Linked DNA regions of Alligator mississippiensis. The protein of the gene in region 1 interacts with the protein of each later gene in a biochemical or structural test. Links are inferred from orthologs where the notes say so. Each region holds a gene or a part of one and is shown in the gene's direction. Other genes may lie near its edges. The genes, in order: MAGI2 and ADRB1.

Region 1 (15,535 bases):
CTGCCCTTTACTTCCTAACGTTTAAATGTACTTTTTGATGAGTTGTTTTTTTTTTTAAACTGTTTTATTCCCATCCAGAAGAGACCAGCTTAACCCTTTGGAGGAACAATTACCAGTAATAATGTAAAGGCCTAAGAATGCTGAGCATTTCCTTTACTTTCAGCTCAAACCAACTGTACATTTCTATATGGTTTAGAAACCTACAATTAAATCAAAAGTCATTTAAACCATGGATGGGCAAAGCAATGAGTGGTTTTGGTTAAAGTTTTAAAACCCTCCCCTCTCCACAAAAACTCCCTCTTAACTCAGTTTCTGGCTTTGCAATAAAATAAAATTAGAGACAGTTTTAATGTGAATACCATTCTGTCAAAACTTCTGGGATGTAGGGGATTGAGGAAAAGAGGGTTTGGGATCAATACTTTTAGCTTTTCACCCTTCTGTAGCAGGACTTCTTAAATTCTGACTCCAGAAATAAGTGGAAAGAATAGTATTATTAATAATTGTTAATAATGGCATGGCTCAATTCATAGACCTTATCTAAGAATGGGACCACATCCTGTCTATTATTACCCTGAAGAATTTACAAAGGGGGAAGGCATGTTATTTTGCCCTTCCTACATAAGGTGAATGAGGCTGAAAGAACCTAAAACACTTGTCTACAGGAAGTCTGTGGAAGAGAAGGGAACCCACACCAGATCTCCTGAGTCCTAGGGCCAGATTTAAATAGGTTCAGTAGATGCTTATATAGTAGGTTCCTTAACCTTGTTATGGAGATGAGCGTTTCTGAAGTATCTGGGGGTATACCAAGTCAGGACAGTTTGCTGCACAGGAGTCATGAGCTGCTCTGATCAGAGAAATGGCACCCTTTGAAGGAAAAACTGCAGCAAACAACTGAATGGCTTGTTTTTAATTCTGCATGTCACTGAAAATTAAGTGGCTTGTGAACCACCAAGATGAAAATGATCCAAGTTCTTTTGTACTTGGATGTCTTGCCCAGGTGGGCAGCTCAATTTAACTGTGAGGCATATGCAGCCAGGGGAAGCACCGCTATAAAGCAATTCAGGCCTAGGTGCATAGGTTCCCTACACAGAGAGCAGACAGGGGTAGGTGTCTCCATAAGGGAATTCAGGAGGCATCTTGAGGAAAAATTCAGGACAAAGGTGTAACTGAACTCCAGCCCCTCTCAGGAGTTTAGGCTTCTGACTCATGCTGCAAACTGGGCACCTCATTTCACTTGCACTTCACAATACCTAGTCCCACTATTGAGGATAGGCTCATCCTGGTGGTGGTGATGCCCACTTTGTCCAAGGCCCTTATGATTGGAGCCCTCGTGCAGGAATTGGGAGACCTCGTTTCTCAATGCACCTAAGCTCCATTGAGCAGGACAGTGCCACAACCACCGTGCTGAAGAAGGGTGTAGGTGAGGGCTGCCTCCATTCTCCTGGGCAGCCTGGAGTGCAAGTATAAAGGGGCCAGAAGAAGAGTGAACAAGAGCTTCATGGTTATAGCACTATCTGGGAAAAGAAGCCCTGGGTTCCAGCCCCTGTTGTCAGGGTTACTCCTTCTTGCCAATTAATGTCTTTTGAAAGTGTAATGCAGGCAGGAGATGCCAGAACACAGGGCCCCCCACTCCCAGGCAGTTGCACTTATCAGTGGGCTACAGAGGCATGATCACTAAGCCTTACCCCTGGCGCTACTTGTTCTCATTTAGGTGCAGAAGAGACCAAACTGAATCTGACTACAAGTCCAATGTCTTATCACACATCTATCCTTCTTTACAACATAATGGGATTTCACTGCTACGTACCTAAGTGTTGCTTGATAGTATTCCTTCCTTTTGCAGGGAGAATACATCTTCCAATACAGAAGCATTTTGCCAATTAGATTAATCCAGAAGCCTAATAATATAGCAACGTTTGGCAGCACGTGGGGATGGAAAAAAATATCTATCAAAAGATTTAGATCCCCCCAAAAGGTTGACCTTTGGTTCCCTTTTATGAAATCCATGATGGGACAGGAGGAATGAAATAATTTGCCAGGTGTCAAGCCCATTTTTAATTACTAAAGCTCCAGTCCTATGATCCCTTACTTATGGGCTTATTATACATATACATTTTTGTAATTGCAGGCTCAGACTCTTGCTGATGATAAATTGCAACTGTGTTTTGCTTGCTAAATATGCTTCCTTCTGTGTTTGTATTTGTTTCTTGCATTTGTATGAAAGCCTATATGAAAAGCAGTCTTGCTGTACTACAGGACGTGGTCATACCATCCTCTGGGAAAACCCAATGGAATGGTTTAATAGGAAAATCTCTTTGAGTTTCTCTCTGCTGACTTCTCCTCAATCTTGTGGGGTTTGGAGCAGAGCCTGGTAACCTTTTACATGTCATAAGCTGGAACAACCCAGCTCTGGTCCAATGCAGGCTGGGTGGCTTTAACTCGCATCATTATCAGAGGTCTTTCCCAGCACTCATATCAGAGCCAGGCAGCTGGGAGCTGTGTCAGCATTCATAGATTCATAGATGTTAGGGTTGGAAGGGACCTCAATAGATCATCGAGTCTGACCCCCTGCATAAGCAGGAAAGAGTGCTGGGTCTAGATGACCCCAGCTAGATACTTATCTAACCTCCTCTTGAAGACCCCTAGGGTAGGGGAGAGCACCACCTCCCTTGGGAGCCCGTTCCAGACCTTGGCCACGCTAACTGTGAAGAAGTTCTTCCTAATGTCCAATCTAAATCTGCTCTCTGCTAGCTTGTGGCCATTGTTTCTTGTAACCCCCGGGGGCGCCTTGGTGAATAAAACCTCACCAATTCCCTTCTGTGCCCCCGTGATGAACTTATAGGCAGCCACAAGGTCGCCTCTCAACCTTCTCTTGCGGAGGCTGAAAAGGTCCAGGTTCTCTAGTCTCTCCTCATGGGGCTTGGTCTGCAGGCCCTTAACCATACAAGTGGCCCTTCTCTGGACCCTCTCCAGGTTATCCGAATCCCTCTTGAAGTGCGGTGCCCAGAATTGCACGTAGTACTCCAACTGCGGTCTGACTAGCGCCCAATAGAAGGGAAGTATCACCTCCTTGGACCTATTCGTCATGCATCTGCTGATGCATGATAAAGTGCCATTGGCTTTTCTGATGGTTTCGTCACACTGACGACTCATGTTCATCTTGGAGACCACTAGGACTCCAAGATGCTTCTCCCAGCTCCCTGCTCCTTGGCTGCAGGCACAGGAGCAGGTTCTAGTCAGTGGGGAGTTTCACTGGGACCAGGCATCTGCAAACGGTGTCCACTGCTTCTCCGCACTCCCCCTATTCCTCCACTTTGTAGTAGTGCAGGCACAGCTGAAAGATGCCCAGCCCCAGCGCAGTTCCCCACCAGCTTGAAGATGCACCCATGACACAGCTGTGGCAGGAAGGGGGAAGTGGCAGCAATGCAGATGAAGTTTGCAGCTGCCCAGCTGTGACATAGCTCCATACTGGCTGGAAGCTGTCCCTAAACTGCAGCTGAGGGAAGTGGCAGCAGTGCAGAAGCAGCTCCCACCTGCCTGGCCCCAGTGCGGGCACAGGCAAAGCCCCCTCCCACTAACATGCTGCTGCTGAAACCCCCTGGCCCGCTTCAGACCAGAGCTGGGAGGGCAGGGAGAAGTGGCAGTGGCATGGGCATAGCTGGAAGCTGGCCAGCCCTGGGGTAGGCACAGGTGTGGCCACAAGCAAAGCCGTCTAGTTTCTCAGGCTGGATCCAGCAGCTCCATGGGCCATAATCAGTCGGTGGGCCTTACGTTGCCAACCCCTGCGATAGAGAGACAAAACTGGCTGCGCATCTCTGGATTTATCCTTACTTTCCTGCTCCCTGGCAGAGCAACTCCTTCTTATGTAGTTGTGCAGAGTAAGGCTATGATACCAGGGGTAACCCATCACGAACCTACTCGTAGAGACCAATTCTCCAGAGAGATCCCCCTGCTATAGAAGAATAATACTCTCCTGTTTGGATTATAACACATGCACTTCCACCATGATCTTAACATGTTCAGCTGGTGGTATGATGTGAATTCCACTTGACATTATCCATTCTTTCAAATCTATGTACAGCCTGTTTCTTCCTGCTATACAGATTGGTAAAGAGCCTTTGTGTCAAGACACTACTGTGGAGATTACTGGACCCCCTTTCCTATAACCAATGCTTACTCTGCAGGGATAAAGAACTGAGTAATACAATGTGGGCTGAACAATACATTGCTCCCCCACAACGGGAAAGGTATTGTAACCTACGTCCAACCCCACTCTGGACACTACTTGCTTAGCAACTATCCATCTGTCAGAAGTTAGACTATAGTCATCTACGGCACTGTACCTGTTACAAATGAACTTCTCATGCAGATTCATTTTGCTGCTGATATGTTTTAAAATAGAAACACTTTAAACTACAGACTCTCTTAAGTAGGATTTTGTACCACGGGATATTTAGCATAATAGTTTCCTATGATTAATGTCAGCCTAATTTTAACTAGTACTGGAAACCTTGAATAATACTGATAAACAGGGCTAAATTAAAGCAATTGAGGGCCTTACGGACTTGGAAAATAAAATGAGGCTCCCTTTCTCATCTCGTAGAAGTGTTTCTAATGGTCAATAAGAGGCTATTTTTCCAGGAACAATTCTTTTAATGAACTGTAGCCCTGGAATCTTTCAGTTGTATGTCTTCCAGTGACAATTATGTTATTTATAAGTTAATTCTTAATTATCAGAAGCTGAAGACTATCAGAAGATTTTTGTAGGGCAGATGACTCAACAAGGTGTGTGTAAAAGAGGGTGACATAAAGAATGACATAGTCTTACTTGTTCTCAGCCCCTCCACCTCCTTTCCCTTCCTTACAACTTTCATGCCAAGGTAGGAAACAAAATACAGGGATGGGGCAGGAAAAAGAAAACCTATTTATCTCCTGTCCCTTTTACTGCCTTTTCTCAGTGCTAGCCTGTTTTATGGCCTGAATTTCACAGGATATGAATACCTGAAACTCCCACTGAAGTCTATTGGAAAGCAGGCTATTGCTGTATTTTCTGCCCTATTTGTGAAAATCTCTCAGCTTTTAGTGCTCTTTTAATCAGGCAGACTCCAAATCCAATGTCATTATCTTCTCTGTGGGTTTCTATTCCAGTTTTCTATGCTTCCATTTTATCTTTGTACTTGGCCTTACTTTGCTCCCAATCCTGCATAATGCTCCTTGGAAGCAAACCTCTGCACCCACATGGAGTCCCATTAAAATCAGGATGGCTTCGTCTGCAGGAAACAACTTAGAGTCAGAGCTTTGTCTTTGCTTGTCATTCTGGGCTTCCTTTTACTTCACATACTCCAACCTGTTGCTACAATGGAGTGGGACAAAAAAGGCAACAATGTTTTGTGAACAATTTCAATGAAAAATGTTTATTTTTCATTCATATTAAAAATATACATGTATATTATCAGTTCTAAGCAGTACATGAATTATTCTACACACCTGTTCTCCCCCTAATTTTCATTCATATATTCTGCACATAATCATGTCCCTGTAGATGCATTCCGAGATCCCCTCCCCGTTCCTTTGATAGGCTCGGCCGGCAGATAATCCTCCCTAAATGTTTTCCTGCTAATCTTTGGTAAGGCTCCCTCTCAGAGAAAACCCAGCTCTTCAGAAGCTGGAATTTTACTATAAGAGATTATAAACGGGAGGAATGGGCTTCTACATTTACATATGAGGAAATTCTGTTAGCTGTGGAGAAGGAGATATTGGAATAACCAAACTTAATTAGCTAGGGTTTGGTGCCAAAACAAACAGTTTTTTAATAGTTAGGGAGATCAGGATCAGACAGTGATGGGCAACTTGGGCCATCCAGAGAGTTGCTGGTGGGTGCCGAAAAACAGATAGGTGCTAGTGAATCTGGATTCATCAGCTGTTCATTTCCCTATTTTTCTCCTTGTTCTTCTCAATTCTCCTTGTTTAGTTCTCCTTGTTCTTCTCAAATTTGCAGCCCATCCCCTCATTCTCCTAATCACTCATGAGCCACCTTTACTCAGGTGAGAGGCAAGCATCAGATCCTCTGTGGTCACACTAACCAACCACTGAGCAGGTCATCAACCCAGGGCTCTATACATATTCACAATATTTCTCTTTGCATCCATTAATAGGGATCCAATGTTAATTAACAGTAATAGATGAATTCATAGTTGTCACGTTTTTTCTTACTTGCCTAGACCTAAACTTTCCTGTTTCGTAACTGCATCTACCAGTCCATTCATGGATCCCTCAGAGCATCCCATCCATTAGATCTGTATGGCTTCCGTTACAGAACTATTTGAGCAGCCCAGTCTTTAATACATCTATCCTCAGTGTGCAACTTTCTAGATGGATATTATCCCCATTTTACCAAGCACTAATGGTCTCTCTACTGTAACCTAAAAGTGACTGAAGTCCATGTCCACATATCTAAGATAGCTTGAAACCAGCTGGCTCTAGCACTAAAAATGCCGTAGCTATGACAGCATGGGATTCAGGGTAGGCTACAAAGCCCAGTCTGACAAAATGCCATGGTATAATCCTAACTAAATGCTACGGCTATATTGCTATTCATATCCTACCCAGCTAAAGTTAGCTCAGGTATGCCAGCACCCGCAGTAATTACACCTTGGATAGCAGCATCCCTGCATTCATGCAGAATCCCATGGATACAGGAGTCTGCCCGTGAGAAACACACCAGGACTGAGGCCTTTCATGTTCTGTATTATGACCTCCTGAGGTCCTTTCCAAACCTCCTTTTCTGTGACTCTAAGTGTGTAAGTAAGGAATCCCCACAGGGACTTTTTTTTTTTTTTTTTTTAATTTTCCATATACTAAGCCAATTTAGCCAAAATAAATTCCAAATCCAATCCAGACAAACTACCGGCAAATATCCTCCACCCCCATCTGGGGCTTCAGATGTTTCCAAACATTCAGCAGGCATCCTACTTGCAGGCCCAAGCGCAGAGGCTTGGGGTTCGGATGCTCCCAAGTTTTGTTTGCCCTCAGCTGTAAGGCCCCAGGGGCAAGCCAGGGAGGAGTCTCCCATTTCCATAAAGTGGGCTTAAAACCAAGACCTTCCCACTCCAGTAGCTAAGTGAGAGGTTTACTATACATTACCTTGGCCGGTACTATCCCTGTGCCAGGAGAGCGGTCTTCCCCGGTGCCGCTAGGAAGACTGCCTCTCATGGTGTTTCCCTTGCCAGGCAAGCGTAGACTACATTTGATCTGAGCCTTCAAGAATCCCCATGGGGACTTGCCCCAGGAATCCTGCAGCAAAGCAGGGAACTGACCCCAGGCCTCCACAATGACACCCCAACCCCTCGGGCCAGGCTCCCACTACCCCCATTCCCCCAGGGGCAGGCTGCTGAGAATAAGGACATGGGACTATATAGACCAGCAAGCCACAGGAGACAGGACTGCTGCAGGAGGCAGCTTCTCCACTGCCCCGTCCCCTTTTTGCCCTTGACTTTGGCTGCTGAGAGCCTGCCCTGGCCTCTGTCTTTCCTGCCCATGGGGTGGCGGGAGAGGAGTAAGAGCCTCAACCTTCTCACAGGCATTAATTCCATGAAGGAAGAGCGCACACACCAACTGCAGATGCTTCCTCCGCCTCACAAACAACGCGTGCCTCTGCAGGCTGGGGGGGCACAGTGACCGCCTGCAGGCATCGGTGGCAGGGGCATGTCATCGTCGGCAAGCTCCTGCAGGCATCCACAGTGCTGTCGGTGGCGGGGCAAGCGGGGCAAGCAGGGAGCTCCCACAGGCAGCCGTGGTGGTGTTGGCGGTGGGGTTGGGGGAGGACGAGCGCTGACCAGCAGTTGGCCACCAGCCACAGACACCATTAGCGGTGATCAGGGACTGCCCACAGATGACACCGGTGGTGTCTGGGGCAAGGGGCTGGGGGTGGCTTGTGGCACCAGCAGTGTTGGTGGCAGCCAGCGGCGATTGGGCACTGCCCACAGATACCACTGGCGGTGTCAGTGGCGAAGGGCTGGGGGTGGCTTGTGGCACCAGCAGCAGGGACCAGTGGCAATCAGGGACTGCCCACAGACGCGGGCGGCAGTGTTGACGCCTGGGGAGGGGGTGGCTTGGGGGTGTCCCGCCAAGCTCAGGGGGCGCACGTGTAGCCAGTGCCCATCAGCCCCACGAAGGCTTTTTAAACCCGAAAGCTTGCTAGGAAAAAACGTTTGCAAGTATTTTAATAAAAGAGCTCAGCTTCACGCCTGCCAGGGACACGACGGACTCGGCAGCGGCTCCCACCCCGCAGGCTTCGGTGCGCGGCGCAGGGGGTCGGGCGCGGCGCGGCGCGGCGCGGCGCGGGGCAGGGCCGGGTCCCCGGGGCGGGCGGGCGGGCCGGGCAGGGCGGCGCGGCTCCCCGCGGGGGGCGGCCCGGAGCCGCGGGGCAGCGGCGATGTGCGCCTCCCCTCCCCGCCCGGCGCTCCCCGCCTTCCCCGCGCCTCGCCAGCCAGCCAGCCTCCCTCTCCGTCTTCACTACCGGGTCAGGCTGCAGCGCAGCGCCCGGGCATCCCTCCTCCTGCTCCGGCTGCGCCCCGCGGCCATGGGCAGCCGCTGAGCCGAGCCCCGGCCGGCCGGGAGGGAGGCTGCAGCCCGCAGGGTCGCCCCTGCCCCGCGCCCCGCACTGCCATGTCCAAGGGCTTGAAGAAGAAAAGCCACTGGACCAGCCGCGTGCACGAGATCGTGCTGGGCAGGAGCCCCGAGGGGCAGCTGGGCTTCGAGCTGCGCGGCGGCGCCGAGAACGGGCAGTTCCCCTACCTGGGCGACGTGCGGCCGGGCCAGGTGGCCTACGAGGGCGGCGGCAGCCGCCTGGTGCCCGAGGAGCTGCTGCTGGAGGTCAACGAGACCCCCGTGGCCGGGCTCACGCTGCGGGACGTGCTGGCCGTCATCAAGCACTGCAAGGACCCGCTGCGCCTCAAGTGTGTCAAGCAAGGTACGCGGGGCCGACGCGGGGACAAACTTCGGCTCGCCCGGCTGAGGGAGGGATGGGGGAGAGGATGCAGGAGCCCCCCTGGGCTGCCGCCCCGCTCCGCGCACTCTCACACAGACTCTCACTCACGCGGGCGCACACACACACACACACACACCCACACTCACTCACAGGCACACACACACCACCCAGCAAGTTTAGAGAAAGCCCTGCGTGTTGAAGCAAGGCATGGCAGCATTTCCCAGCCACAACACTATAGTGTTCAGATGCCAGCAGACAAGGGGTAAATGTGATGTCTTTTATTTAGACCAACTCCAAGAGTTGGGAAAAGATGTGCGTATTGGGAGGGGGGTGGTGGTCCTGGGGTGTGCGGGTGTGGATGTAATGGACCCCCCCCCCCCCACACACACACACATCTTCATGTGAGAGGTGTCACAGGGAAGGCTCCTGCAGCTGGAGAAGCTCTTGTGGGCTGGCTTGAGGAGCAAAGATTTGATGCTGGCTCCAAACAGACCTCGCGGTCGTCCCCAGAGAAGCTATCTTCTCCCCGGACAAAGTGTGACCGTTCGGGAGTTTGTGCCTGTCATCTGAGGTCAAAGCCTAAGAAAGGTTCGGAGGAGAAGAAGTTTGTCCTGCCACATTGTGAAGTGTCTGAATGGTTGTCCAGAGACTGCTTCCTTTAACTGATGGCAGAACAGCGGCGATGCTTCCAGTGGCTGGCTAAATCCTGCTTGGAAAGGCAATGTGTGGGCATACCAGGCTCAGAAAATTTATGTCCTGGGACAAACACAGGTCCTGGGACAAATGTAATGTCTGGTCCTAGCCTCTGTATATTTTTAACATGGGGCATTTCAAATCTGTATTAATACTGTAGTGGAAAGATGCCTCGTACTATGTCAAAGGACATTTGTATTCTAACAGATATGCCTTTGGAGGCATTACTGAGAGCTCCAGTGGATGCCTAGAGATTTCTCCAATATACCCAGCCTTATCCTTCTAATCACTAGCTTATTTTTTTACAATGGTTTCCATGAAATCTTTGAGTTATGAAAAGCTATGCAGATCCCTGGGCTCACTAAAGTGGCTCCTAAAGGCAATGGAAAGACTCCTCATGTGAGTCAGGACCTACTAGTATCTTCAGTTACCTCTATGAACTCGTATCTCCAAACAGTTGACCTGCTCTGGGATTTGTTAATTGGTACGTTACATTAGCACATGGGTTAGCTGAAGAGTACAGCAAAGCAATAGGTCACGTCTTGATGGACAGAAGTACGGTGATGTAATATTTTATGCAGTCAGTGAAGATCAGAATGGGAAAAGAGCTGAATCACTTCTCCCTTGTTAAAGTGCATATGGTCAGCTCTGGGCACCTGAATGCTGGCAAACCTGCCACACTGTTTCAGCTGCTTAATGTGACTTGGGTTTATCTTGACTGGTTTGTAGTGATTTCAGGAAGGGGGGAGTATTTCTCAATGATGCTAAGGGTCAAAAAGATAATGGTGTAAGTAAACATGTTTTTGGTTTTTTTTTCCCCCTGACTGAAAATACTGTTGTCTCCTTCTTTACAGAATAGGAACAATTCTCTGTATTCATTTCAGTGTTCATTTGCTTTCAGTTAATGTTTCATAAGAGAATATGAAACAGTTTTCTGTTCTTAAAACTTTGTGGGGGGGGAGGGGGGGTTGAAATGGCCATAAGCAAGCTACTAGTTTGTGTGCCATTTATAACTGTCTCTCTCAATACATGAGCTGGGGACATTAGTCGGGGCTCCAGTTTCTTGGGATACAGAAGCTGAGTTCTGGGTTCTAGATCGATTGTGCTCATTGAGAGTTTCGCTGCAGTCTATCCATGTGCTACATTTAGGAGTGACTCCTATACACACAAGATGGATAACTTCATATGCTTTGAAGTTTCAACTGCCTACCCAGATCCCTGGTCTAAGAGTGACTTTCCAGTTGGAAATCTTTCTCCAAGGTCATTCCCTGTTCTATACCATCCTCTTTATCAGACAGTTCTGCCAAACGGAGTGACTTACAAGTTTTGGCCTCTTTACTAAAACGGTCCTTGTTGTCTATATTATACCATGCAATGCAATTTGGTTTAATATCAGTACTTCTTGGTTAAAGAGCATGAGCATTATATATTAAGATTGCTTTCAATTAAAAGATTACTTTTTCCAACAGTATTTTTCAACAGTATACTGAGAAAAAAAGATGGACAATAACATTCCTTATATATTTTTATAATTTTGTTCTCTTTTAATTATAAAACACTTTTAGTGTGCTGGAACAAGGTTAATGAGACCATTATCATAATTTCTGCATAATTTATCAATGGTAACTCTCTAAATTTTTCACTGCACACATTTAATTAAAATCGCATGACCTTGAATGGACCATGTGACTCTGGCTTCTCTTTCAGAGTAAGTGCTGTCTTAGAGTGAAATCAGAGTGAGGGATATGAGGGTAGAGCTTCCTATTTTTAATATAATACTTACGTGTCTTGGAGCATTTCTGTTGTTTGAAAGTTTTCATAATTCAGCAATCAAAATTCACTGTTGGATTACATCAATATGTGGCTAATTCAGTTTGACAAGAAGTAGCTTACCTTTTTTTCTTGAAATTACAGAAAGGCAGCAATACTGTACTGATTTACAGTGAATGACCTCTTCTTGCTATCCTGCTTTGAGCAGACAGTATCCTTCCATGAGTGGGGAGTAGGTGGAAGGGGCTGGACTAGATGATCTCCTACAGTCCCTTCCAGTCTTGCTTTTCTATGATTCTGTGTTGTGCTTACTGTGATACACCCAGTTCTGAAATATTTAAAAAGCCAAGCTTTTATCGCATTATGAGATTAAATACTTTTGGTCCAAAAAGACCAAAGATATTTTACTACTATACAAGCTGGGAATCAAGTGTTAACACAAAAGACATGGTCACATTCATTCACAGTCGCTACATATCATCAGCAGACCAGTCATGGGAAACCAGTGAGCAGTCATGGGATGTTATATTGAATAAAGAGGGGTGGTACTCAATTCGTAAGGATTGTAATGTACCTCATTACTGTCTGGGCTTGATATAGTAGAAATAACATAAGGAATACTTTAGTGTAATAGCTACCATCATGATTAATCCTATTAACAATCTGTACTGTAAGCATTTCTTGGAGGCTGCTTTTTGTGGAAGCCCCTCCCCCCATTATGACTTTGATAGAAGAACCACAGCAATTCCATTAAAAATATATTCAGTAAAATCCTGGCTTCACTTAAGTGAATGGCGAAACTCCCATTCATATCAGTAGGAAAAGAACAGGCTATGATAGGATTAATGTCCCATAGATTTTTTAGATAATTTTCTTTCAGAGGAAGGATTTTGAATTGTAACAGAACTATTAATTCAGTATATTGTAATTGTTCTGAATTACAAACTTCTAACAGCTGGGTCAACTGGATGTGGCTTTTGGCTGTGTACTCATGCTAAAGGCCACCCACAGTTTATCCACTTGTAAGTGGGTACCGGGCTATTTGGGCTGGGAAGTCAAAGGTAGCTGGATGTCATGCTGGGCACATCGTTTCCTTGTGTGCCATTGGCTACTGAAACTGCCTTTGCCATGCTAGTCCGACAGGTGACTCTTTGATGTTGATTCTAGAGTGACTGTCATGTGTGGAATAATCCTAGTATTTTACAAGAAAATAAGAAACGCTGCTTCTTGAACTTGACTGTTTATGTATATGAAGTGTGGCCTTGCTAATGAATTATTCCTAGGCACATAGATGCAATTTAAAATAACATATTTATTCGAATACAAGATGAGCCTCCCCTCCCCCGACCCTTGTCTTACATTTGCATACAAGGAAACTGCATTAAATGTATCGGTTATCCGTGAACTGCGTCTAAAAGCAGCATGTGCTCAGTAATGGAAACCAACTATGAAGTTGATTACATGCAGCCAACACTGAGCATGACTGTAAAGTACATGGCCCATATTGGGCAAACATGCTGAGGGAACCTACCACAGGGACTTATTTTGCAAAAATATGTATTTCTATATATATAAATAAATACACACACACACACAATGGGCATAAATACTGATTTAAAAAAATATCTGTTTAACCTGTTGTAATTACAACAGTAAAATGATTAATTGATACAGCAACCCCCCTCCAGTAGCTAGGCTCCATAGACCCCGGAGCAGCCATTTGCAGCCTCCTTGCTGCCTGCTGGGCTCCATGGTGGGTGGCAGGGGCCTGCCCAGAGCCCAGGTTGCTCATGACAGGCTCCTCCACAGAGCCTAGCTGTTGGTCTAGTCTCTTCTACCCTTCTCCTCGCTCCTCCCTTCCTCCCGCCTGCGCTGCCACCTTCCAGTTCCTGCTGGGGCACTATGTGGCTTTGCACCCTTCCCCATGCTAAACGATAACAATAGGCTATAACCAGTTATCACTGGGCTTATCAGTTAAACGATTAATTGGTTAAACCTGGGCTTTTATTAAATGAGTACATTCGGTGCTTAATACAGGCATGAATTTTTTTTGTCTTCCATTTTGCTCCTTAACTAACATATTGATAGTTAAAATACAGCTTAAAATCTAGTTGTAGTTCGGACTTAATCACCTGCATAAAGTTGAGTATGTGTTAAAGGGCATGTGGAGATGAAACAGGGGCCCTAAATTGAAGCAGTGGGTTTTAAAAAACACCGCTTCAACTTAGGGCTGATCAAACCCCCATGTCCTACATGCACCCTGCTGACTTACCTGCCTGTCCAGTGTGGAGGGGAGAGTGAGCTGCCAACAGGCAGAGTGGTCCCTGCGCTGTGGCGGGGATGGGAAGGGTTGGTGCTTCCCACGGTGGCAGCAGTGCTCCCCTGCCAGGTGGCACCTCCCTGCAGGCATCCAGCTTGGGATGTCCCAGGGGGCATCATAGCTGCAGAGGGAAACACCAGGCCGCCACGCAGCTCAGGCAGGCAGACAGGCTCCAGGGGGGGTGGGAAAGAAAAGATCAGACTCGCCACTTTTCTTGGGTGAAGCTGCTTTCCCGGGCTGCTGCCAGGCTGCCTGCAGGCCTTCCTGCAGAGCCGTGCAGCTGCATGGAGCCTGCTGCTTTGCTCCACGGCTGTAGGGCAGCAAACTAAAACTCCTCAAAGGAGTTTTAATTTGCTGTGCCCCAAGTCATTTAAGGCGCATTATGCCATCGAATTTCCTACAGCGGCTAGAATTAATGTGCAATATGACACCAAGGCATGCAACCACCAACAACATTAAAGCGGTGCAAAAGCATTTAGCACTCTTTAAAGTGTTGTGCACACATGCCTCTCATTTCATCTACACAGGGCCAAAGTGCTTTGCTTATGAGGGATGGACTTAAGTATGTTTTGAATACTTTCTAAATCATGGCTTTAGTTGTTAAAAGCTATTATATGTAATAGAAAAGGTCAGATTTTTTTATGTCTTTGTCTGCTGTATTAAGTGAGACCAAAGATCCACCTGGTTCATGCTAAACTTGAGTGTACCAGCCCCAGACCTGTGCTGGCTCTGCAAGACCCTCTTATTGGGGTTCTGGCTGCACTTTTCCCGACATCTTTTATTTTATGTGCACCCCATCCATGGCCCCACAAAGTTCCAGCTCATTCTCCTCTTGGCTGTGGTCAGGATATCTTATCTAACAGACCAGGAAGGAGGTGCTGGTAGGGGGGAACACGGGTGACTGTAGGACTGTCTTGTTTTTCCATGTCTGTGCATATCTCTGGACAGAGTTTCACTGGACAATATCCACAGTCTCCTTAGATATGTTTAAGGAGCAGTGTCTGCAAGCTGGAGTTCTCTGCTCCCTTGACATCATAGTTATTAACCTGCAACCTGCACTCCTGTTCTTGCTTCATCATCCTTTATACCAAGAATTTAATTGTTATACATTTAGTAACTTCTCTTTAACCACTAAGTGGGGGTTGTTCCTGGGGGACCTAGGCCCACTATCACCGTGTAACAAATAGACCTATCTCTAATACCAGGAAGTAGCAGATACTTTAGAGAAGGGATTTCAAACTCACCCAGGCCTGAGGCCAGATTGGAGCCATTGGGATCCTTGTGGGCTGGATTGAGCCTGAGGTATGGGGAAGCTTCTGTGGCCACCGCAGCAGTGGCGACTGGTAGCTGTGGCAAAGGATATAGCAAAGGTGGGTTCTGAGGTGGTGGCAGTGGGTCCAGAGGTAGCAGTGGGTCTGAGATCAGGGATCTGCTGGTGACAGGAGGCAGTAGCATAACTAGTTTGATTAAGCAGAGCACCAGTCTTGGGCACCTTCTTAGAGGGGGCTCCTGCATTGCACCCCTCTCCATCCCAGGAAGTGTTTCTATGGCAGGAATAGCCCCATGCTGCATAGCCATAGGAGCCAGGCAGGCACAGCCACTTTCCCAGTAATGTAACTGGGGGCAGGGGGGCAAGCAGAATTGCATCTCCCCCAGGAGAGGGAGTCTTTGTCATGGTAGTTGCAGCCCTGGACCCAGTAGCATATGTGGGCAGGGAGGGGGAGTGAACAGGGCATTGGGGGCAGCTTCCAGGAACCCACACT
Region 2 (15,243 bases), on another chromosome or scaffold:
TTTCTGTGGTCTTAGAAAAGTCTAAGCATTCCTTCTGGTTTCATCAAGTTCTCTGCTGAACTCTCAGTGAACCACCACTGTATAATCATTTCATGTCCTAGAGCATCTCTCCCGTCACTGTGCCAGCTTAGTAATACTCGAATTCATTTAGGTTACTGCAGGCTTCATTCAGAGTGTCAGTTCAGGAAGCAGGAATGGGAACTTCACCAAAGTTGAGGTACTCTAAAGATAAACTACAAACATTTTCTCAAGTTAAACTTTAAAATCAGCCCTTGGGTTACCCCATAGTTCCTCAGTTCAGCAGTCTGCATTCGTCTCATCACAAGTAATAAGTGGCATTACAAGGAATACCACAGTCCTCAAGGATCCAGGGCATCATGGACAAATAAATAAAGGATTCTCAGATTATGACTCATAGAAAAACATCAGGAAGAGGCTGAGTCCATAATTAATTCTTGGGTACATGGACCCCATGTTACTGCCCAAAGTCTCTCTGGATATACATCACACCTCTCATGGTAAAATTATGTCCTGAGCCTGGCTGTTCCTAAGCTTTCCCACCAAAGCAGCCTTTGTTCTAATTCTTTCTCTCTAGAGAGTAATTCCTAACTCTTTTATCTCTTGAAGAGAGTTAACAAGCAGCTTTTGCCAATGAGTCACCAGGCCTCTAGACACAGCTCTAATGACTGCTAACAGGTGTCAAGAAAACTGCTCCGAATAAGAAAACAACTATGCGGTTGCTGGAAAATTGGTGCAGTTTTTTTATAATGCAGCCAAGGCCTGTGCATGTGTATATTTTTTGCATGTTGATTTCACTTTATTTTTTACCCAATCCTGTGAAGGCTAAACAACTGATATCAACAGGAACTGATAGGTACTCAGCATCTCAAGGCCCGGGCGCACATAGTCAAAGTCAGGGTGACGACACCGCTGAAATTCCATACAGTACTACATAGTTGATCTCATTGCTTTTGGTATCACTTACTGGCCACAACCAGCCCCTTGTGTTATTAAGTACATTTGTTTTATATTTGCATTGTTTGACACAGAACAACTATATACAGTATCTGGCACACTGTCATGTATAATCAAGAGATAATGTCAGTGGAATTGCATGTTGTCACAGGATAACAGTTTCCTGCTGCTAGAGAAATGCCAAAGCGAGGCCGAGGCATTTATGGAAAATAAATGTCAAGTCAAAACTGAGATGTTTATTTTAAAAACAAGAGACATGGATCTTGTGGCAGCATTCCTCTGTGTCTATATTCCTCTAATAACAGAGGTCTGGTGTAGATACAGTCAAACGACAGTTTCTCACTGGGACAGAACAGAGAGGGTGAAGTCTGATTGCTTTGTATAAAGACTTGTCAGGTTGTTTCTGATTTGCTTTTCTTCTACTCAGATTTTAGTGAAAATGTTTAGATAATCAACTTGAAATAGTTTATCAGATGCATGATGAGTTTACAAAGGGATTTACAGGGAGAGAAAAGAAGAGTAAGTGACAACAGACATGTTTAGTTTGTCTTTCATAAATCGTATCCTCCAGAGTAGTAAGACAGACAATATGGGCCACAGGCCCAGGTCACTGAAATAGAAGGAAGTCTTTCCATTATTCATTGTGTGTAGGATCAGGCCCTAAAGGAAAAAACAATCTCTGCCTAAAATGACATCCTAGACTTCCTGATAACAGCTGGAGTTTTACTACTGATCCCAGTGAATGCATGATTGGGTCCACTGTGCAAAATATATATGTTAAAATACAAAATTACTAAAGCCTTGATTGTGCTATTCAGGCAGGACATCATGGGGCATAGACAGCCCCAGGTGGAGAAGTGAAATCATTCTACTCAAATCTACTGTACATTAGCATGTGGGCTTGGCTTAAACTGTTCCTGTGTACTTTCTTGTGATTCTCACTACTTTAAAATTAGTTGTTTATCCATTTACAAAGCTCACAGTGGTCAGTTTTCCTGGAGAATGAACAAAGTGAAAGGTATTTAAGTTACTAGTTACCAAGGGGTGGGATGGGATGATGAGACAAGATGGGATGATATATATAAGAGATGGTAAATATTCAAGTAGTCCATCCTACAGACATTGGAGCTTATATGCATTTATTAGGGTTTTCTCAAACCTAAATATAAAGGTCTAATCCAGGGGTAGGCAATGTTTTTGGCCAGAGTGCAAAAAACCCCACGATGTCTACCTTGGAAGGTACCAGAGTGCTGACATGCCAGAAAAACAAAATGAGGGTGGGGGGTGTACATGGCAGGACGCACCGCATATTAGTATATTTAATAATCATAAATGTTGCCTTTGTTGTTGTGTATTCCTTTTTTGTTGAGCATGTTGCAATGAGAGAGAAAAAAGAGACAAATAAGGCAAAGAGGAGAGAGAGCGAGAGAGAAAGGAGAGCAGAGAACCAGATACACACACACGCACGCAGAGAACCATGTGCACAAACACAGAGAACCAGAACACACCCATAGCAGACACATGCACACACACATCCAGAACCAGACACGTGTGTGCACACACAGATGCACAGGACCAGACAGAGGCAGATGCACGGGCACGCGGAGCTGGGCTCCTGGGCCACTGGTGTGGAGCTAATGCCGGAGCCCAGAGCAGATGTTTGCAGCCTCCCAAATGCAGCCGGCCCAGGCTCTGGGTAGCTGCTGCCAATCACAGCAGGGCTTGCAGCCACCCAGCCACTTGCTGGGAGCATCCTGGGCTTTGTGGCTGGCAGCAGCTGCCTAGAGCCCAGGCTGGTGGTGGCATGCCGAGCAAAATGGCCTTGTGTGCTGCACTCAGCACACGTGCCGGGGGTTGCTGACCCCTGGTCTGAGCAAAGAGAATTCTACTGCTTTCTTGGCAATCTAATAGATTTGACCTTCAGGAAACTGTTTCTGATAATCATACTGAACTTTCCTTTTCATCACATTATCTCTCATTAGGTCTCTTGGTATAATTCGTCTATTCTAAATAATTCCTTTCCCACCCACTCCTTGGTATTTTTTTTTTATGCTTCACATATTTATACATTAGGGAATTACAAGGTCATTGCTTAGTTAAAATAGTCTCCTTGTCTCTTCTCATATATTAATCCCAAGTTCCCTTTAATAGTTGATATTGATCTTCTCTGAACCTCATCTAATATATCATTATCTTTTCAATAGGGAAGTGCACAGACCTAAACATATTTCTCGTGATTTTGTGCTCACTTGCAGCAGAGAAGCCAGGAGCAAATCTATACAAACCAATAGAGATACACTGTTGGAAACCTGGTGTAACTGGCTGCGTCTACACGAGACACTAACTGTGCAGTAGCATCATGTGGCAGGAAGCATGATGCACAGTCATCATCACAAAAAAGTCATTCCTTGGTGTGACTGCACAGTAACTCTGGTTACTACACAGTCGTTTAGTACTTGTTTATATACTGCAACTGTACATCCAGCATCTTGTGTAGACACAGCCACTGAGAAGACTTGAATCAGGTCCATCATTACCAAGTCTTGTGATTTCCTTGGGGGTAGAGCTGTCCAGCAGATAATAATTTCATTCTGTGACAACTTTAAAGGATTCACAATTAAACCTTTAGAATATGTCCACAAAAGTAATTTTGCTGAAGAATCTTTTTTTTTCTATAAAAACCTGAGCTATCTTTTTAAGTTTGGTCCGTCTGTCTGTCTCTTTCTCTCTCCTTTTTTTTTCTCTTTGTCTCTCACTCTCTTTTTCTTTCTCTGCCGCCATTCAGAAATGTCAGGACAGCCCTAAAAAAAACTTCCCCAGCAAAATCTTTGTTCGGCTTCCACAAAACCATGTGTTTAGACAAAAGTTCATTATGTCAAAATGTTCTGACCAGCTGTACCCACAAGTACTGAAATTTTGTTCATGGCTAGAGAAAGACTGGCAGGTGGGAATTTCAGCCCTCCTTGAAAGGAGGACACTGTTATTCTTAAGGGCTGTTATGGGACTCTGGGAGAGCCATTGGCTCCGACAGTTCTGGATCCTGCATGATCTGGAGAACTGGTTTGGATAAGCAGGGCTACAAATTCAGGAACAGAGAAGGGACAACAGAGGTCTGGCTAGATGAAAAGGCAATCTGTCTCTCTTCCCACTGAAAAGACACTTAGGTAGCTGTGCATACTGACATAGGTACTAGCTGAGGGTATTAACTTTAGAAGCTAGACCTACCAGACCATCCTCACAGGCTGTTTAGCAGGGGAAAGAACGAATCAATTAATGTGCTGAGGTCTGAGGGAGAGCTGGAAACCCGGCACCAACGGGCAGCCAGAGAGAGCTCCTGCAGCCAGCTGGGTTGGAAACACATTACTTAATACACTGGGAAATCTGACAACAACACCCAGCAAGTCACTCAAAGTCCCACAACCTAGTCACTCCAAGCCTTTTCTTAGGTAAATCCACTAAAAGCCACAGATTGTCAGGACTAATCCTGCCATCACTGAGCTAAAACTTTTACTGGTTTTAATAGGTTCAGGATCAAGCCAATAAAGAGGATCTGCTCCTGCCCACCTCCATGGTGTGTATCATGCAAACTCACGCAGTGCGAACTTGAATCTAATATTCAGCATCTTTTTGCACTCCCTTAGCATTGCTTCTCTCTGTGCCGATGCAAATACCACACCCGTACTTCAGCCCCTTCTTCTCCCTCAGTTCTGCCTTCCTATTTGTTTTACTTGTTGAGCAGTCAGCATTATGATACACACCTGTACACAACAAAGCCCTGATGCTGCAAGCCGCTGTCTGTGTGGTAGTCATGTGCCTGCTCAAAGCCCCCTTGAAGTCTGTGGGACTCTGTATAGAGCAGCGCAAAGGATCTGGGTCTAAAACCCTACACAGAAGCCCTTGCAGTCCCTGACACATTCCAGCTCTGAAGTTTGTTTCAACTCAGCCTCTCCAGTGCAGTACGATTTGGAATTCCTTCTGGGTCCATCTGTTATCCTCTGTGGGTGTGTTGGATAACCAATCTATTCTAATTAGTATTGAAGCTTCTTGTTAAAAAAAAACAATGACTTCCAGGAAAAAATAGATTACTGCTTCAATAAAAAATGTGACCTGGAGCACAGGCAGAAACAATCCATTTCAGACTTTGGAACTCACTCCTCTTGACCTGACATCCTTAAATAATTTGCACACAAAGAGGTGCTAGCAAAACCACATTCAAATGCACAAAAATCAGGAAACTTAGAGTTAAAGGTGATCTGCAGAGGTGTCGTTTGGAAGATGAGTTAACCCTACAGTTATCAGCTGCATGCACACAGGGATGCTCAGCAGATAAATTCTTCAGCTAACCTTTGGTTCTTCCTTTTTAGACAACCCCAAAGTCAGGCTGGTTCCAGCTCTGACATGACGTTGCAGAATTACGCCTGTTGTGACAGGAAAATTATTCTAGGCCTTCTGATTAATTATGTAGCCTTGGGCAATTCACTTAACTTCTCTGGCCCTTAAACTTCAAAGCTTCTTCAAAGACAGAGAGACAATCAAGGGGTTACAATCCCATGTTAATTTTATTAGGTAAAGACCTTAATTCAGTAAAAATACCCTGGGGATGACAGATGGATGGAAATGCAGGAAAAGTGTCCAAAGGCATGATTTGTACCCCTCACAACTGCCTGTGTGATCTTGGGCAAGTCACTAAAGGTTGGATTTTCTAAACTATCCACGATCTTCAGATGTCTCCATTTTTTGAGAAGATCCAGCCAGCAGGACTTCAGGAAGCCCCTAAAATGATATACCTGATATGTTGAATACCTCTCTGTCCTGGCTTGTGCGGGCAACCAAGGCTTAGCTGTAGGATAAATTGTCTAATAACAAAATCTTTTGCAAGTCACATTTATAGTAGTTCACTGTAGAAGTCCACTCTTATCTAGCTCTGTGTTGGTTCCTTCTGGTAGAGACTCAGGACTGACAGAAAGGATGGATTCCTGTTCCTGCGGGGATCACAGCTGAGGATTGACTGACAACCTCCTGACAAATATCGTCAGACCCTTTCCTTAGTTGGTTCAGCCACAATCCACACCTAGCAGTGTTCACATAGTTCTTCAAGGTGAGGAGCATCCACCTCTCCCTGTCCAAGAGAGTCACTTCATGCATTGGAGGGCTGAGCTCTCTAGGCTCAGACTTCTTCTTCTCATGTCTCTACATCACATTTAACCATTTTTTTACACATGCTTGTGCTTGTTTATTGTACTTTGCAAGCTCTTTCATTGCACATGTGCCTTCAAGCAGTGGGCATTACAGCAGGCATTGCCTAGTCTGAAGCTCTGTGACAGTTACAGGTGGTCGAACCAATGTTATAGCCTCACTTCTTCATTAGTTCCTGGGAACATGCGACTCTGGTACGTAGGCAGTTGAGACATCGCCACCTTTGCCACTGTTCATCAGCCCCCGATGGTAAGGACTTAGCTGCTGGAGTGTACATTTTTTCATTGTCAGCTATTTTCTTCAGCCTCTCGTTCCACATCTGTAGTTGTGTCTTACTGAGTGTGGCATCGAGAGTGTGGGCGCTGATGAGAAAGCTCCTGCATGACTTCAGACATTTGTGTGCTGTGGGATGGTCATACAGTGGGTGTCTCGCATCTTCTGTTTGCCTCGATCGTTCTATCCCACTGGCTCAGACTGGAAAAGATCAAGTAATGAAGCAAAGTTCACTAGGGAATAGTTTAAGCAGCAGGTCCAAACTGATGGAGCCTGTAATCAGGGTTAAACAAACAGTATGTAAATAAACACATAATTCACTCCGGGGTTGCAACCTTGTATACCGAGTCTGAACCTGGCAGGGAATGGTAAGGTCAAACCGGAACAATGACACAGCCTTTGCAGAATAAATATATGTGGGAAAAAAGGATTCCCTCTTATTGCTCCCAGCTAGTATGAGATGGGGTATTGATGTAAGCCCCAGGCATGGATGTAATCCTGTGATACTAAAAAGTAAAGGGGAGAGAACTCATTTTCATTTCTCTTTGCCAGTACAAAGGCAATTTAAAGTAAGAGTAAATAAGCCTTACATCCATCTAAGGCCACACCTGATAACAGAGCAGCGTGAAGGGCTGCACATGTAAATAAGAGTCAAGCCCATGTGTTTTAAGCCGTTTCAGTGGATGTAGCTGTGCAAAGGGCTGCAATCCTTGTACAGTCTCTTATGCAGCTATGCTGTCACCGGAGCAACACATTTACTGCACACGGAAACTTTTTATGGTTATTAACAAATGATAACGTTGCACCTCAAACGTCTGTAGCTATCGATGGGGTTTGGCCGGGGCGGGTAAAAGTTCTGAGCTGCACATTACGGCTGGGATAACAGGCACAGAAAGATTTGTCCCAAGCAAAGCCAGCAACAGAAGCCAAGTCCTCTGACTCCCAGCCTTAGGAATGACACAGTGGCTGAATCTGGAACCCCCGGGGAAGCCAGAACAAACAGGACTTGTGATGGGGAGATACGCAGGGCTTGGGAAGCACGGATCCATCCCCCACCGGGCAGCGTACACTTGCACAGTTGTCAATATTGCCTACAGGCCATGGCAACTGTTGCTGGCTTCCAGTGCTAAGGTTTTAAATCCAGCACATGCAGCGAGATCCCCTGCCCCATCCCCGCGGGCTGCGGTGAGAGCGGCGGCGCCTGCTGCCTCTTGGTCACTTCTCCCTGCCGAGCAGCAGGGCTGGGGCAGGCCTGAAGCCCCCTTGATACATCTGTCTCCGGCGGGAGAACTTCTCCCTCCCTTCTCCTCCTTGCGTCTCGGCAAGGAAACAAATGCAACTCTTCGAGGAAGACGAAAGGCGCTCTGTTTTTAGCACAGAATGTTACTTTCTGGCCCAATAAGGCTGGCCACGTCACAGGCGTCTCCATCCTCAAGGTACCCAGCAGGCAGACAAGGCTCTTCGGGTAAAACCAGTTACCTTCCATTAGACCAACTCAGTAGTTGGAACAACAATTTCTTAGCAAGCTTTCGGGTTTAAAAACCCTTTGTCCGGCTGAGGAAGTGTGCGCTCTTCCAGCAGGCATTAAACACCAGAATGGGCTTTCCGGGCTCGGAAATTAAACGCTAAAACGGGCTTTACCTGCTCACGTCCGCACAGCCTAAGACCTACAGAGGAGAAGAGCGCGAACCCGGCGCAGCGTTTCGGGGCAGTGATGCCAGCAGCTGCCCTGGGCCCTCGGCAAGCGAGCGGGGAGCCCCCAGGACGCCGGCCCTCCGCTCCCTCACCCCCAAGAAGGGCGTTTGTGGCCGGAAGCATTGCAATTAAGAACTTTTTTATTTTAGTTTATTTTATTTTATTTGCACAAATCTGGCGGGTCTCAGACAAGACACCGCCCGCGCCCCGCGCCCCGCGCAATCCCCCCCCCCCACGACGGGTGCGGTGGCAGGGGGCCGCCCACGTGCGGGCGCCGCGGGGGTGTGTCCGCGCCGCGCGCCCATTGGCCGCCGAGCAGTGACGCGCGGCGCGGGGGTGTCGCGGCGCGGGAGCCGCGGGAGCGCACAACCATGCTGCAGCCCGGCCGCGGCGGCCGCTCCGCTCCGGCTCCGGCTCCGGCTCCGGCTGCGGCTGCTGCAGGGCGGGCGCCCCGGCTGGTCTTCATGCCCCCGGCGCGGCTGCCCTGAGCGGACAGCATGGGCGATGGCTGGCTGCCCCCGGACTGCCAGCCGCACAACAGGTCCGGCTCGCCGCCGCCCGCGCCCCCCGGCAGCGTCTCCCCGCCGCCGTCCTCGCCCGGCGGCCGGCACGAGCTGCTGTCGCAGCAGTGGACGGCGGGCATGGGCCTGCTGATGGTGCTGGTGGTGCTGCTGATCGTGGCGGGCAACGTGCTGGTGATCGCGGCCATCCGGCGCACGCAGCGGCTGCAGACGCTGACCAACCTGTTCATCACCTCGCTGGCCTGCGCCGACCTGGTGATGGGCTTGCTGGTGGTGCCCTTCGGGGCCACGCAGGTGGTGCAGGGCCGCTGGGTCTGGGGCTCCTTCCTGTGCGAGTGCTGGACCTCGCTGGACGTGCTGTGCGTGACGGCCAGCATCGAGACCCTGTGCGTCATCGCCATCGACCGCTACCTGGCCATCACCTGGCCCTTCCGCTACCAGAGCCTCATGACCAAGGGTCGGGCCAAGGGCATCATCTGCACCGTCTGGGGCATCTCCGCTCTGGTCTCCTTCCTGCCCATCATGATGCACTGGTGGCGGGATGAGGATCCCCAGGCTCTGGATTGCTACCAGGACCCCGGCTGCTGCGACTTCGTCACCAACAGGGCCTACGCCATCGCCTCCTCCATCATCTCCTTCTACATCCCTCTGCTCATCATGATCTTTGTCTACATCAGGGTGTACAGAGAGGCCAAGGAGCAGATCAAGAAGATCGACCGATGCGAGGGTAGGTTCCACAACAACCACCACCACCAGCCTCCTGCCCAGGGCCACGCTCACCACCAGCCCATTCTGGGCAACGGCAGGGCCAGCAAGAGGAAGAGCTCCCGGATCATGGCCATGAGGGAGCAGAAAGCCCTCAAGACCTTGGGTATCATCATGGGAATCTTCACTCTGTGCTGGCTTCCTTTCTTCCTGGTCAACGTGGTCAACGTCTTCAACAGGGACCTGGTGCCAGACCAGCTCTTTGTCTTCTTCAACTGGCTGGGATATGCCAACTCTGCTTTCAACCCCATCATCTACTGTCGCAGCCCTGACTTCCGCAAGGCTTTCAAGAGGCTGCTTTGCTGCCCCAGGAAAGCCGACAGGAGGCTGCACGCCAGCGGTGAGGAGCTCTCCCGGTTCCCAGGGAGTTTCATCAATACTTTGGGCACCCCCGAGCGCAGCCTAGGAGGGATGTGGTCCGACTGCAATGGGGGTACGCAGGGAGGCAGCGACTCCAGCCTGGAGGAGAGGAATAGCAAAACCTCCTATTCGGAATCCAAGGTATAAGGACGGTGGGAGGTGGCACTGGGGGACACCCTGGACACTGAGCACGAAGAAAGCCAGCCAGGGAATAAGTGAGAGGAAAAAAATATCAGGAGTCTGGTTAAGCAAACAAACACCAAACAAAACCAATCTCTGTCTCACTGGGGAGAAAATCTGTGTTTACTTAAGACTAAAAGCAGGTGAACTTGTATGCAACATACCTCATCTGATGTTAGAGGAAGCCGCTGACCACTGAACAAAGGAAATTGAAAGCTGTCTCAAGCTCATTTTTTTTAAATTTTCTAACAGGGAGTTAGGTGGCAACAGGCATTTTGAAAGGGAATAAGAAAATATCCTTTACTCAGTTAAGCTGCTCTAAGAGCTGCACTTGCAGTAGAGCCCGATCCTGAAGTATTGGGAGTTTAGCCACTGACTTCACTGTAGCCAGGATCACGCTGTATTTAACCTTGCTTTCAAGCTGAGGACTATAAACTCTCCCTGCCCCTACTCTTGGTGGCTGCAGTTCTTGTTTCACACACAGGTAAAAAAGCAGTCTGATTTTAACAAGTGCTGCCTGCACACAGCCCTGTTGAAGTTAGTGGGAACTGCAGGTGATCAGCACTTTTTGCAAATCAGGCTTAACAGTCCTTTATAAAAGTGTGTCTGTCATCTGGCAAGTTTTATTTTAAACTTCAGGTAGCTGCGTTCCCCTGTTTTTTAAAGTAAAGATGAAGGGAAAAAAATTAACTAATGAAGAATATTGATATACTTGTATTTTGAACAGAGCTTTTCTGATTTTTATCTTCTGCATCAGCAACCGGTTGACTTCTTATGCTTATCTTCTCTTGCCAGACAATACCAATCAGGCTGGGAAACTTTCTACCTCAAACTGTGCATATTGTACAGGGGAATAAAAAGACATGTTTATATTAAACAGCTTATTTATGTATTGATATTATTATTTTCTAAAAAGAGGCAGTGAGCCTTCTGCAATTTGTTCATTGTAATTGAAGATGAACAGTAAAAAAATAAATAAATCCTGGCAACAAAAAAAATTTACTGCACATAAAAAAAATGGCAACAGAGCCATTTTTGCACAGTGTTAAGAATCGTAAAATTAATTGAAGATGTTCCTTGCACAAAAAAAAATTAAAAATAAAACGGGGGTTCAAATATCATCAAACCTGAAAAAAATTCTTTCTGCTCTTGTCTAATATGTTACATTTCTATTGAGAGAGTGACTTTTTATATTATTTTATCAAGGTACTGTAAATGCATCCGTATTATAAATTAAAATATCTTAAGGGTCTTTTATTATTATTTTAATATTTTATGTCCAAGTGCCCACGTGAATCTGCTGTTATTTTAGCACTTGCGTGTCATTTCCATTTTCCTCCTGTGTGTGTTTTATAAGGTATTTATACTCTGGTGCAATTTACTACTGTGTAAGTAATTGGTCTATGTGCAATAAATAACATTGCAGCACAAACAAGCATATATGTACAGCGTGTCTCTATAGGTTCTGAAACAGTACCCAGCTATAATGGAAAGAACAGAGTTTTGTTTTTCTCAAAATATGGATCAAATTACCAATACTCTCCCACCTAATGGCTTTCCCTGACAAAATATTGTTTAAAAAAAAGTGTTCTAGACCAAATAAGGTTGTGTTTTCTGTTGCGTTAAGGGCTGCCGACTTCCCTCAAAAATTAATGGCCAAAGACAAGGTGTTTCCAGCCTGATAATAAACATAGTCATTTTCTTTAGCCTGTTGGCTCTCCTGATCTTTTTGTTGTATTAGTAGACCAGGAGTCAGGGGATTTATTATTGAAAAATAGAATAAAATGGTTTTGTATTGGATTTGAAAACTGAAAACTGTTGCTAATAGATTATGCAGTGGCTCTCTCATGGTGAAATCAATGATACTCTTAAAATAACTTCACTGGATGCAGACAGAGCTTGAAGTCCATATTCAGCGAAGCCAGCTCTTTCCCACCGAAATCATTGGGAATCTACGCTGATTTCAGTAAAAGGGAGATTATGCCCTGTATCGGGAGATGTAATAAGAAGTTTGTGATCCCTTGAAAAAATATGCCAGGCTTTCATTCTACATTACTGAAAAAAGTGTCTTCAGAAAATAGCACTACATATTTGATCCCTTCATTTCTTGATATCAATTAAAGCCAAAGGCAGTTGTCATTGACTTTAATGGGTGCAAGATCAGGCCCTGTAAAGTGTTTTTCACACTGCGTATCAGTTCCGCACAAAACCCCAGTCACATATCTATAGATTAAAGAACTAATTATATAGCGAGAAAAGCAATATGGCACTCGGCAGCAATATTTTCCCTAGCTATAGATTCCTTTAGGGCTGGATCCTGTTACCCTCACACACTGTGCAGTGCCCTGCTGACACAGGTACCCCCGTGGACTCCAAACAAACCATGATGAAGTGCCGAGAGGGCATGGGTGGCAGACTCTAATCCTTAATGCAAATCCTGAATGTAGAACTCCGTGACAATACTGTCTCCCATTATTGTCATGAAGGTATGTTTTATTATGATAGATTCAGAGAATTTTTCATGACTGCAACTTGTCATGGCATATAAAGCACCAAAAAGCCAGACGGCTGGGTATCGTAAAACACCTCCTTGATGTCATGCACAGAATAAAAGTGAAGCCATTTTTAGCTTTATTATACTCAACAATATAGTTGAGTTAGAAATCATGTCCCAGTGAGAAGAGTTCTGAAAGTCAGTTCTGCAAGAAATAGGCCAAGCTCTCTCTTAAATAAACAGTTTACTCCATTTTTAAAAGCTGAAGATTTTTTAATTCTGTTTTTAACATTACATTTTAGGGATAAAAACATAGAGACATTTTTTACACATAACCAAATTGAAAGGTCCTTTGAAGTCACTGGTTGTTTTGCCATTGGTTGCACTGGGGTTAGGGTTTGAACTACAGTTAATTATTTCTGCTCCAATAGAAGTGAAATAGGCTTCCTAAATGCCAAGGTGAAGCCAGGGCAGTTGCCAAATGAAACATGTTCCATCAGTCTTCTAACGACATGCACTTTTAAAAGCCAGGATCTAATTCTGCCTTTAGTTACACCCTGCAATTCCAGCAAAGTCAGCTGAATTGCAAGAGTGTAACAACCAAGGGCAAAATTTGTCCAGTCCAGCTGTCTGATAGCCATGTTGATTTTATGTGCAGTGTGTTTAGTGTGCATATGATGGATAAGAGTAGAGTGACTATTTGCTCCTCTTTCCTTGTAGAAAGTCACAGGCAAACATTAAGCATGTGAATGGTCCCATTGAAATCAGTGGGTCTACTCACACACCCAATTTAAGCATGTGAAATGTTTTGTTAAAGTGGAGTCTTCAGTGACACATTTAGGACCAAAACTTGTTCAGATGACTCTTGTTAGTAACAGCATGGGACCATGTTCATCTGTTGTGTGATTAAAGGCAGTAGAGTTCCAAAAAAACTACTTTGCTGATTGATTATAGGGGGATCAGCTGCAAGAATAAATTAATCAGTTATTGTTGCATTTTAGCCAGCCAGAAATGGCCCAATGGAAAGACTATATATAGATATATTTACTGGGTTTTTAAAAATAGGATGGTCTTGATATTGATGGCTGTTTACATATTTAAATCTTCAGTAATCAATAAAGATAGTCCATCCAGCAGTGTGAATGGCCAGTACCAGTTTAACTTAGTGCAATATAAAAAAAAGCAGTAGCATGATAACCTTACAGATAAAAAAGACATATGGCATACATGTGTGGAAAGAAGGAGAGACTATTGGCTAGCAGTGCCTTATGGATCTCTTTCTTAGTACAGACTGTTCTTAGTAGTGAAGAAGTATACTCTAAGAAGAGTTACAGGACAGCTGAAATTCTCTGCAGGCATTGAGTCAAAACTTCCTTGATGAATATATTTTTGAGGAAAACCAGACAGGGATTAACAATTGGAGCTGCAGTACAAATAGTAGACATGCAGCTATACACGCATGCACACACACTGTCACAGAAAGGTAAAGTAACGGAGAAGAACGAAGATCTGAAGGGAAAGGAAATACAAGCAGAACAGAAACTCTGCTATCGGGATACATGCCGTATCTGTTAGGGCCAATGTGTCCAGCTGCGGTGTTTAACCTTTAAGCACTTAACAGGAAAGGGCTTGGTTTTCAGCCACTATAATCTCTATTAACTTAAATGGAATTTCAACACTTGTTGGATCACTTCTCCATAGAGCCTAAATATAAGTCTCACAGTATAAAATTAGATAAGGTAGTTTGAACATATGGATCTAAATGTACCTGCTTTATCCAGGTAGAAAGCCTAAGGTAATCACGTCCTGTAATTTGTGTCCACCTGGAGAAAACTTAAGAGAGAGGTGTATTTGGTAAAGGTATTTGGGTGCCTAAAGATGCAGAGATGTGCCTACTGATATTTTCAGAGTGCCCAGGCATCCATGGGAGTTAGGTACATTCTTGAAAATACCACTCTATATCTTCATTTTTAGGCAAATAAATTCCTTTAAAATGCCCAAATTGTGATTCATGAATTGCATGTAGATCTGGTAACAAAAAACATTTGTTGGCATTGATTGCTATTAAATTTTGCATAGGAAACTCAGCCTAAAATGCTGACAAACCGATCTTGATGCAGTACGCAAAGAATTTGAGAAAACTGGTAGTTTGTTTTTTGATAGAGTGCACTATTTCTTCTGCAAACGGTTTCTTGGCTGGCATGTAAGTGTTTTCAAATATAAGAACAACTTCCTTATCTTGGGTCTTTTTTCAGGCCTTATCTGAAATTGAAATTTTATTAATAACTTTTTAAGTGTCTATTTTGCAAACCTTCCTTGTCATACACACTTTCCTAATTTATTGTAATTTCCTATCTGGTCCGGTGTACTTCCTCTCTGTAATACATCAAGTTGCGGGAATGGAAACTGTGCAACCATGAACTAACAGTACAGACATACTTCAAGCCAAATTCTGTCTTTAGTTGCACTCTTGCAATGCTACTGAAACCAGAATTTGGCCCTTATAATCTAATCTTTTTATGAGAGTTACTAAACAATGGCTTCAGAAAAATCCATTGTCACCAGTAGTGACCTTTGCTAATGAAGCTGGAGCAATTAGTCCCATTAAAAGCTGTCAAGGAAAATGCTAACTGCTAAACAACAGTTAATGTTGTATAACTAAAATAATGAATGTTTTGTTTGTTGGTCTGTGTTAGGTGATGTATTGGGAGATAATTATCCTTTGACTAGCAGCCAGCTTTGTACTAATCAGAAAGGAGGAGACATGTTCTGTTTGAAGGATTA

What was found.
Region 2: the proteins of MAGI2 (region 1) and ADRB1 interact in a test that uses a peptide from one of them, tested with the Homo sapiens proteins (4 studies listed by IntAct, with this or other methods). The link is inferred for Alligator mississippiensis from reciprocal best matches to the Homo sapiens genes MAGI2 and ADRB1.

Annotation. Positions count from the first base shown.
Region 1 is NC_081827.1:22,065,665-22,081,199, forward strand, and holds the start of MAGI2 (membrane-associated guanylate kinase, WW and PDZ domain-containing protein 2), read left to right. Parts: upstream 1-8,448; 5' UTR 8,449-8,667; coding exon 8,668-8,971; intron 8,972-15,535. UniProt on the Homo sapiens protein: Seems to act as a scaffold molecule at synaptic junctions by assembling neurotransmitter receptors and cell adhesion proteins. Plays a role in nerve growth factor (NGF)-induced recruitment of RAPGEF2 to late endosomes and neurite outgrowth.
Region 2 is NC_081829.1:92,298,264-92,313,506, reverse strand, and holds ADRB1 (beta-1 adrenergic receptor), read left to right. Parts: upstream 1-8,520; 5' UTR 8,521-8,636; coding exon 8,637-9,932; 3' UTR 9,933-11,671; downstream 11,672-15,243. UniProt on the Homo sapiens protein: Beta-adrenergic receptors mediate the catecholamine-induced activation of adenylate cyclase through the action of G proteins. This receptor binds epinephrine and norepinephrine with approximately equal affinity.